Linked DNA regions of Mus musculus. The protein of the gene in region 2 interacts with the protein of the main gene of each other region in a biochemical or structural test. Links are inferred from orthologs where the notes say so. Each region holds a gene or a part of one and is shown on either strand. Other genes may lie near its edges.

The links. The genes of interacting proteins can lie anywhere in the genome.
Region 1: the proteins of Plin3 (region 2) and M6pr form a complex in vitro, tested with the Homo sapiens proteins (2 studies listed by BioGRID). The link is inferred for Mus musculus from reciprocal best matches to the Homo sapiens genes PLIN3 and M6PR.

What each region holds. Positions count from the first base shown.
Region 1 is NC_000072.6:122,307,230-122,311,583, forward strand, and holds the start of M6pr (cation-dependent mannose-6-phosphate receptor precursor), read left to right. Parts: upstream 1-1,490; 5' UTR 1,491-1,937; intron 1,938-4,354. UniProt on the Homo sapiens protein: Transport of phosphorylated lysosomal enzymes from the Golgi complex and the cell surface to lysosomes.
Region 2 is NC_000083.6:56,280,495-56,284,089, forward strand, and holds part of Plin3 (perilipin-3), read right to left. Parts: intron 1,113-3,595; coding exon 913-1,112; intron 374-912; coding exon 248-373; intron 1-247. UniProt on the Homo sapiens protein: Structural component of lipid droplets, which is required for the formation and maintenance of lipid storage droplets. Required for the transport of mannose 6-phosphate receptors (MPR) from endosomes to the trans-Golgi network.

The DNA of each region.
Region 1 (4,354 bases), on a different chromosome or scaffold from region 2:
CAACCACCCCTGCCTCTCTGCACATACCCTCTGAAAAGTTCTCAGAATTCCAAATACCACCACAGAAACTATCAAACATATTTGCCTTGTGCTCTAGCAGGGACTAGCAAAAACCACGTCCCCTGTCAGAGCACAAGGCAAATATCATAGCCAGCTGTTGTGGACAATCTGAAGCAGCCCCAAATCCCACACCTGGGATCAAAATGGAAATATGTTCTTAAAATTGTTTTCTGTGTTAAAGAAGCCAAAATTCCAAAATTCTCACTACAGACCATCACAGAAAACCATGACAGGACACGGTGCAGAGATCAGCAGGTGGTGAGGGGCCTAGCCACAGTGGCTACCTCTACATCACAGCTCCTGCATCTATGACTCAGGACACATAAAAAAAGAGGGGGGCTGGAAAAACCGTAAGAGCTGCAATACCAGGATGTCTGGTGTGAAACAGTCTCATAGAAATGGTGGCAAAAACAAGATCTAAACAATGGCGATATCAATATGCTAACAGAGAAGTGAGGCTATGCCATACAAAGTGATCATCCTTGAAATCATGTACATACAAACATAAACAGATTCAGCAGGTTGTAGTGTATCTATGCAAATATTTGTAACTATAACAATTAAAGAAGATGAGACCATCAGTCTGAGTGGGGGACATGGGGAGAGCTGGGTGAAGGGGCCTTCGAAAGAAATGGAAGAAGGAAAAAGTCAGAAGAAGGGGAAGTAATTATACTTTAATTAAAATGTATTAAAACTTTTAAGTTAACTTTTTTAAAAAGTATAGGACACTACGGTGTTAGCAGTTTAAGCACAGTTCTACCTCTGACATGAATCCCTATCTAAGCAGAGTGAGGGAGGTGCATGCAAAAGCACGTGAGAGTAAAAGGGGCATGAGCAGCTAAAGCCAAAAGAAACTTCAGAGGAAGAAATGAGTAACCTGGAGAGCGAATCCAGGAAGCCGCAATTGTTTCAAACCAAGCTCTAAGAACAACTAGGGCTTGAGAAGTGGATAATAAATCCAAGGAGTCTTCAAATGACCTTACCAAAGGCACAAAGACACGGGTCCCCCCAAACTGAAGTACAGGCTAGAGGGCCGGCACACATAGGGCAGGCGCCTTTGATATATGCCTTTGACAGTATGCTTATCTAGCAAGATGCCACAATAGGAAAATTCATTGCCCAGGTAACAGTAACAATAGTTATGTCCCGAAAGAATTAGAAAATTCTGAACAAAGAAAATCAAGACAGGCAGGACCTATAACATTCCACTGTCTGGGTAGCAGAGTCAACTGCAAACCAGAAGCGAGCCCAGCCGACTGATGGCTAAACAGCGCCTCACAGAGGCCACCAAGGTAGCAGAAGAGTCCTAGAAACTACAACTCCCAGAGAGCTTCGGGCGAGGGAACTACAACTCCCAGCAAGCCCAAGGAGCGACACTCTTTGTAGTTCCACAGATCGCCCTCACGTACTGTCTTCAGACCTATTGGGACACCTGGCGCATGACCCCGCGTGGATGAGGAGCGCCCGCCCAGAGTCCCTGGAGGCGGAGCTCGAACCTCATTGGTAGAAAGGCGACCCGAAAAGAAGAAACTGATCTTGACAATCTCCGAGTGATTGGAGTTGATGGGACCGGGGAACAGCGAACTAGGCTGCTGACCAATCAGCGTCCAAAAGAGAGACCAGGGAACCAAGGTTCTGCGGTCACACGCCGCGGAGTCTAGTGGGAGGAGCAGTTGCTCAGCAGGCTCTCGCTGCTTCCTGTTTCCGGCTTCTGGAGCGGGGCGCATTGAGGCGCCTAGGGAAGCGCTGGCTTCAGAGAGGAATCGAGGGACTGGGGTCTGCGCCCCCGCACCCCTGATCTCCGGACGCGTCTTCCAACCTCAGAGACACATTCTTGGGGGCTTCTGAGCCGCGGTTGCTCTGTTTTCCCGTGACACGTGAGTGTTGGGGGCGTGGAGGAAGCGGGCTGGGGTCCTCGCACACCTCTGTACTGAAGGAGGTGCGGACCAGGACTCTCGCTTGGCCGTGGTTCTGGCTGGAGATCCTGCTAGGGAGCCCTAGGGAGGACTTGAGGCAAAAGGCATGAGAACGGAGAACGCCAGACTTCTAGGAGTGAGGAAGAGGAGTTCCAAGATCAGAGAGGGATTTGAGATGTTTTGAAGGTTGGAAAAGGAAAGTGCTCATGTGTGAAGTGTTAACTGGATTCTTGTAGAGAGAATTTTGACCTGTATCGTGGGAGTAAAGTGGCGTCATGGCGTCATTTGGGGGTAAGGTATGACTTTGAGTAGATAGAAGGCGAGAATTTCCAGACTCCTGGAAGAAGTTCGAGGAAGGTCTGTTAGCATGGTGTGGAAAAGAGTGACAAGAGTGTCTTGTGTTTCTGTGGAGACTTTGAAGCACAGAACTACCTCCTTGGGGCACTTTAAACATTGGGCCTTTCTGCCAGTTGAGACTGATCTTAAACGTGTTGGCTGCAATGAACCAGGAGGAAGAAAATAAAGCCCTCCATTAGAAAATGGAAAACGGCCATGAGTGGAAAAATGCGTGCAGGGCTGAATGAGGTCAGCAGTTTCCCAACCCCTAACTTAGTCACTCGGCGTCCTATAGAGAATGTTTCAGCATTGCCACTAGATCTGTCTCTATAGAATAAGAAAGGGGAATTCTCAAGAGCCTAAGATCCTGTTTTACAGCGTCTGAGAGTTATAAGTGCTTGCACTCTGGGGATCTCTTTGGACCATGCTAAATAGGAACTGCCCAGCTTTCAGTTTTATCCTGCTCTCTATTTGGGCCTGTATTTATCAGAAGTTTGACCACAAATGCCTTCATGGCATTAAGTCATCCAGGTTGATTTAATATTTGTGTAGCCTAGGACAAGTAACTCAGTGAGCAACTCTAAGCGTCAGACCCCTCATCTTTTCTAGGCTGTGTAACTAACACAATGCAGGCATAGCATTTCAAACATACACCACACTGAATCAAGGAGAAGCAGCTCAAAATTAGACTCAAATCTTAAGCTGGGAGAAGTGTAAAGTTATTCTTCTACTAACTTTTTGAACGTTTAAGCAAATGACAAACAGTTCCACTCATCCAGTGCCTACCGTGGCTTGTTTTAATTTTTTCATCCTGTCCCAATTTTGTGAAATTCTTTGCCCTAATTTGGGAAGAGAAAGCAGCAACAGTTAACAAATGAGGAAATAACTTGGAGGCCAGAGTGCACAGCATTCATTCTGTGAGAGCATCCCTCCAGGATATGTCCTGGGGAGCAAGCGCCTCAGAGCCCAGAATGTTACTTTTTTTAAATTAAATCCTGAGAGAACTTGCAGAAAATGGCACCGAGTAGGTTAACAGAGGAGCTCTAGGTGAGGTGACCGGTTGAGCAATAGCTGAGCTCAGGGGAGGGGAGAGCTTAAACCTGGGCTCCTTGTTACAGTTAACTTCCAACTTCCTGGTCTGTTTTAAAAAGGAGAAAGGCAGCTCTGGGTTGGCTCCCTTCTGGATAGATGACTCTGGAGCCATCCATCTTACTCCATTAGCTGTGTCAGTGGCATTTGTTCTGTTTGTCCTGTAATTTTTACTTGTGAAACAGAGACCGTTAAGTTTAATACATGGTTTGGAGAGGATTGACTAGTTAATGTCTGGTAGCATTTCAGAGAGTGCCTGGCTGAAGGCTGTCCCTCTGCTGCACATGTTCTGTAATGTCCTATCTGAGATGAGTTAGGAGTGCCTTTGACCTCTTGGCTACGTGTGATTACTGGGTGGAAATAAATGCCTTGTAAATGTTTGTATTGGTGAGTTGATGTGGGGGGCGGGGGAGTATGGGTAAGTGTGTTACCCTCCCTGCATATGGGAAATGGAAACTCAGATGTACCTTTCAGGGAGAAAGGGAAATGAATTTAGAGCACAGGGTTAGAGCTTTCACTCTCTTGTGGAGAATGTCTGGAAGAGTTAACTGTCAAAAAAAGAGTAAAACCATTATAAAATAAACAATGTCAATGGCCTGAAGGGTTACTAATAGATACTAGTAGAAGCCTTGTGCAAGCATCAGTCACTATGGCCTAACTATGAAGGTAGCCAGCTTTTCAACATTGAAATAGAACATTGTCATCCACGAATATGTTGGGCTGCATTCACAGGTATCAGGGGATATATGTGTCCAATGGGCCATAGTTTGGATGGGCCTGTTAGAATAATACAAACAGAAAGTGAACTCAGAACTTTAGAGTGTAAAAAGACAGCCATCTTACTGAAAGTTTAGCTGGCCTTAAGATTTGTGACTTGAAGGGGCGAGGTAGATTTAGGAAGACTTCTGGTCACTCCTTTTGACCCAGTGAGTTTTCTTCTGTGATTGGGTGAT
Region 2 (3,595 bases):
GACAGCCAGGGATATACAGAGAAACCCTGTCTCGAAAAACCAAAAAAAAAAAAAAAAAAAAAAAGCCAAGCCAAAACCACCACCTTACCCCAGTAATACTAATAAAAATGCAAAAATTAAAAACCAAAGCCAAAACAAAATAGAATTCTGTCATGGTTTCTGTGGTTGCCCTGGGGACAGGAAGCATGAGTTATGCTGAACAGGGCATGGACACTCATATGGGGATCCCGGGGGCCCCAGCAGGTACCTCTGGCTTAGCTGGGTCCTTTTCAGCATCCTGTGGGGTCTTCTGGTTCCAGCTGAGCCACATCTGGTGCAGCTTCTCCTGCCCCTCCCCCAGCCTCTGGTCCACACCCTGTTTCACGGATTCCATCTACAGCACAGAGAAAGGGGCCCTATTAGAGGGAGAACATATCCCAGACACTGGGTTCCAGCCGGGACAATGCAGGGATGGGGGGCTCTTCATTTTCATTGTTTTTTCTTTTCTGGCTAGCCTGGAATTCACTATGTAGACCAGGCTGGTCTCTGCCTGAATGAGAGGCATACACCAAGGAGACACACACTTTTATTTTTCTCCTTGGGCAGTGCTGAGGTTAGACCCTGCTCCACTGCCCACCACATCGACTTCACATGAATAAGGTGGAATACTATGCATGTGTCTTAGCTGCTCTCACTGGCCTAGTGACCCAGCAGCGACCAGCACCCCTATCCAGCCGGGTAGAGAAAAAGGCCTTACATACTCAGGAACTTTGTTACACAGCCTGAGCTGACTGATACACTAAGGTGTAGAGGAAGCCAGCCCAGGGGAACCAGCCCAGCCCACCTGCCACTGGGTGAGATCTCAGCTCACTTAAGAGCTGAGCTGCAAGAAGGAGGCCCCAGCCACGGCCACACCCACACGGGGAGGCTCACCAGGCCGAGCACACTTGTTAGCTGCTGCAGCGTCTCCTGTGCCTTCTGCCTGGCATTCTGCAGCTTGCCGAGGGAGTGTTCATAGGCGTGATTGCGCAGCCTCTCAGAGAGAGAGCCCAACCGGACAAAGTAGTTCTGCTCCTGTCGCTGCTGCTGCAGTGAGGCCATGTCCGAGTCCTCCGGGGGTGTGGCAATCAGAGCTGCAGGGACAGAGGGAGAGATTGCTCACATTACCCACGCCACACAACGCCACGCGCCAGGCAGTTAGGAAGTTGAGGCAAGGCAGGAGGATTGCAAGTCTCTGGCAACCTAAGCTACTGGAGACCCTGTCACGGAAAAAAATGCAAAAAAGAGGGCTGATGGTATGGCTCAGTAGTAGAGCGGCTATCTGGAAGCTGGTTCATTCTCGGGTCTACAGAACTAGAAAACAAAGATGGGCCCGCAAAATGGCTGAGCAGACCAAGGTACTTGCTGCCAAGCTTCATGACCCAAGTTCAACCCGTGGATCCCATGGTAGGAGAGAACCAACTACCAAAAGTTGTGTTCTGGCTGCTCTGTGTGTACCTAGCACAAGCATACATACCTCATATCATTAAAATGAAATAGATTTTAAAATATTGAAAAGCAGCTGGGCAGTGGTGGCTCACGCCTTTAACCCCAGCACTTGGGAGGCAGAGGCAGGTGGATTTCTGAGTTTGAGGCCAGCCTGGGCTACAAAGTGAGTTCCAGGTCAGCCAGGGCTACAGAGAAACCCGGTCTTGAAAAAGACTATATATATATATATATATATGCACACACACATACACACACACACACACACACACATATATATACATATATGTATATATATTTGGTCTTTATACACACACACACACACACACACACACACATATATATGTATGTATATATATTGAAAAGCAGGTGGTGGAGACTGGAGGATAAACTCCTAGAGCCACCAGATAGCCTAGCCACATCAGAGTCCTCCTAAGTCACTGATGTGCTGTTTCAAAAAGCAGGGGTCTCAGAGGCAGGCAAATTTCTGAGTTCGAGGCCAGCCTGGTCTACAGAGTGAGTTCCAGGTCACAGCCAGGGATATACAGAGAAACCCTGTCTTGAAAAACCAAAAAAACAAAAAAAAAAAGCAGGGGTCAGACTGGCTGGGACACAGAAACACAGCTGTGGAGCTGTGGCCTCTGCACCACCATCAGTTGAGAGGCCGCTGAGACGTTCAGAGACAAAAAAAAAAAAATCAAATCCTAGGACTTTTTGTTTGGTTTGGTTTTTGAGACAGGGTCTCACTATGTAACACAGGTTGGATTCAAACTCATAGACATCCGCCTGCCTCTGTCTCCTGATACTGGGATTAAAGGTGTGTGCCATCATGCCTGGTAAAATTCTGTATTTTGAAGGAAAAGAAAAAAATCCATCCCCTTCTCACTTCTCTATGGTACATTTTTGGGCCAGCTGGTGTGTGGCCGTTCTCCTGGAAGCTGGGACCGCATCTGGGAAAGTGAAAGGGGCTTTGTGCTCCAAGCCAAAGCAAAGACAGCAATCCATGGACAGAGAGTTGGCAGGACACCGAGAGGAACAGGCAGGCAGCTCAATTGGCCTGAACTGAAATGGGAAGGAGGGGGGGCTAGCCTCCAACTTCCGCTCCCCCTGCATCCACCTCCTGAGTGCCAGGTGACTGGTACACACCACACATGGCTGCTGTGCTAGGGACAGAACCCAGGACCTGGTGTGTGCTAAGTGACCACTTTATCCACTGAACCATAGCCCCAGCCTGAAGCTTGATTGTGTTGTGAGACAAGGTCTTCCTATGTAGCCTAGGTTGGCCTAGAACTTCTCATCTTCTCGCCTCGCCCCTTCCTTCCTGGGATGATAGGCACAGGCCACCTTGCTTGGGTTTCAAAGCTAGGTCCCACATGGCTCTGCTATTCTCTATCGAGAAGCCACCTGGGTCCTATAGGACAGCCAGGGATGCCTCTAGGAGGGCAGTGGTTAAAACCAAGGCTGCTCAGATGAGAGCCACCCCCACAGAGCCTTGGTTCCTCTTTATGCATGTCCCCCGCCCCGCTTTTGGAGCACCTTCCCACTTTCTCACTGTACACCCCACCCTCTCCCAGGCTGGTAGCGTCTCCTGCCATCTGTGGGGGAGCTGCAGAGGTGCAGCAGCCAGCTCTGTCCCTGCAGAGAGTCACTGCAGGAGTGGGTGTTTTGCCACACTGAAGCTGTAGCGCTGCATGCTCACGGCCAACCATGAGGAATCGAGACCTCTATAGAAGTTGGCATACCGGGCTGGTGAGATGGCTCAGTGGTTAAGAGCACCGACTGCTCTTCCGAAGGTCCTGAGTTCAAATCCCAGCAACCACATGGTGGCTCACAACCATCTGTAACGAAATCTGATGTCCTCTTCTGGAGTATCTGAGGACAGCTACAGTGTACTTACATATAATAAATAAATAAATCTTTAAAAAAAAAAAAAAAGAAGTTGGCATACCACTTGAGAGGTGGCTAGGCGGTTAAAGGTACTCATTGCAAAGCCTGACTGAGTTTGATCTCTAGGACCTATGAGGTGGATGGAAAGATTCCACCAAAGGACTTGGAAGGCTGTGGGCAGAGGAGGGAGCCCTCTCAGGGACAGCTGTGGGGAATACCAAGCATACGCACTGAGGCAGGAGGT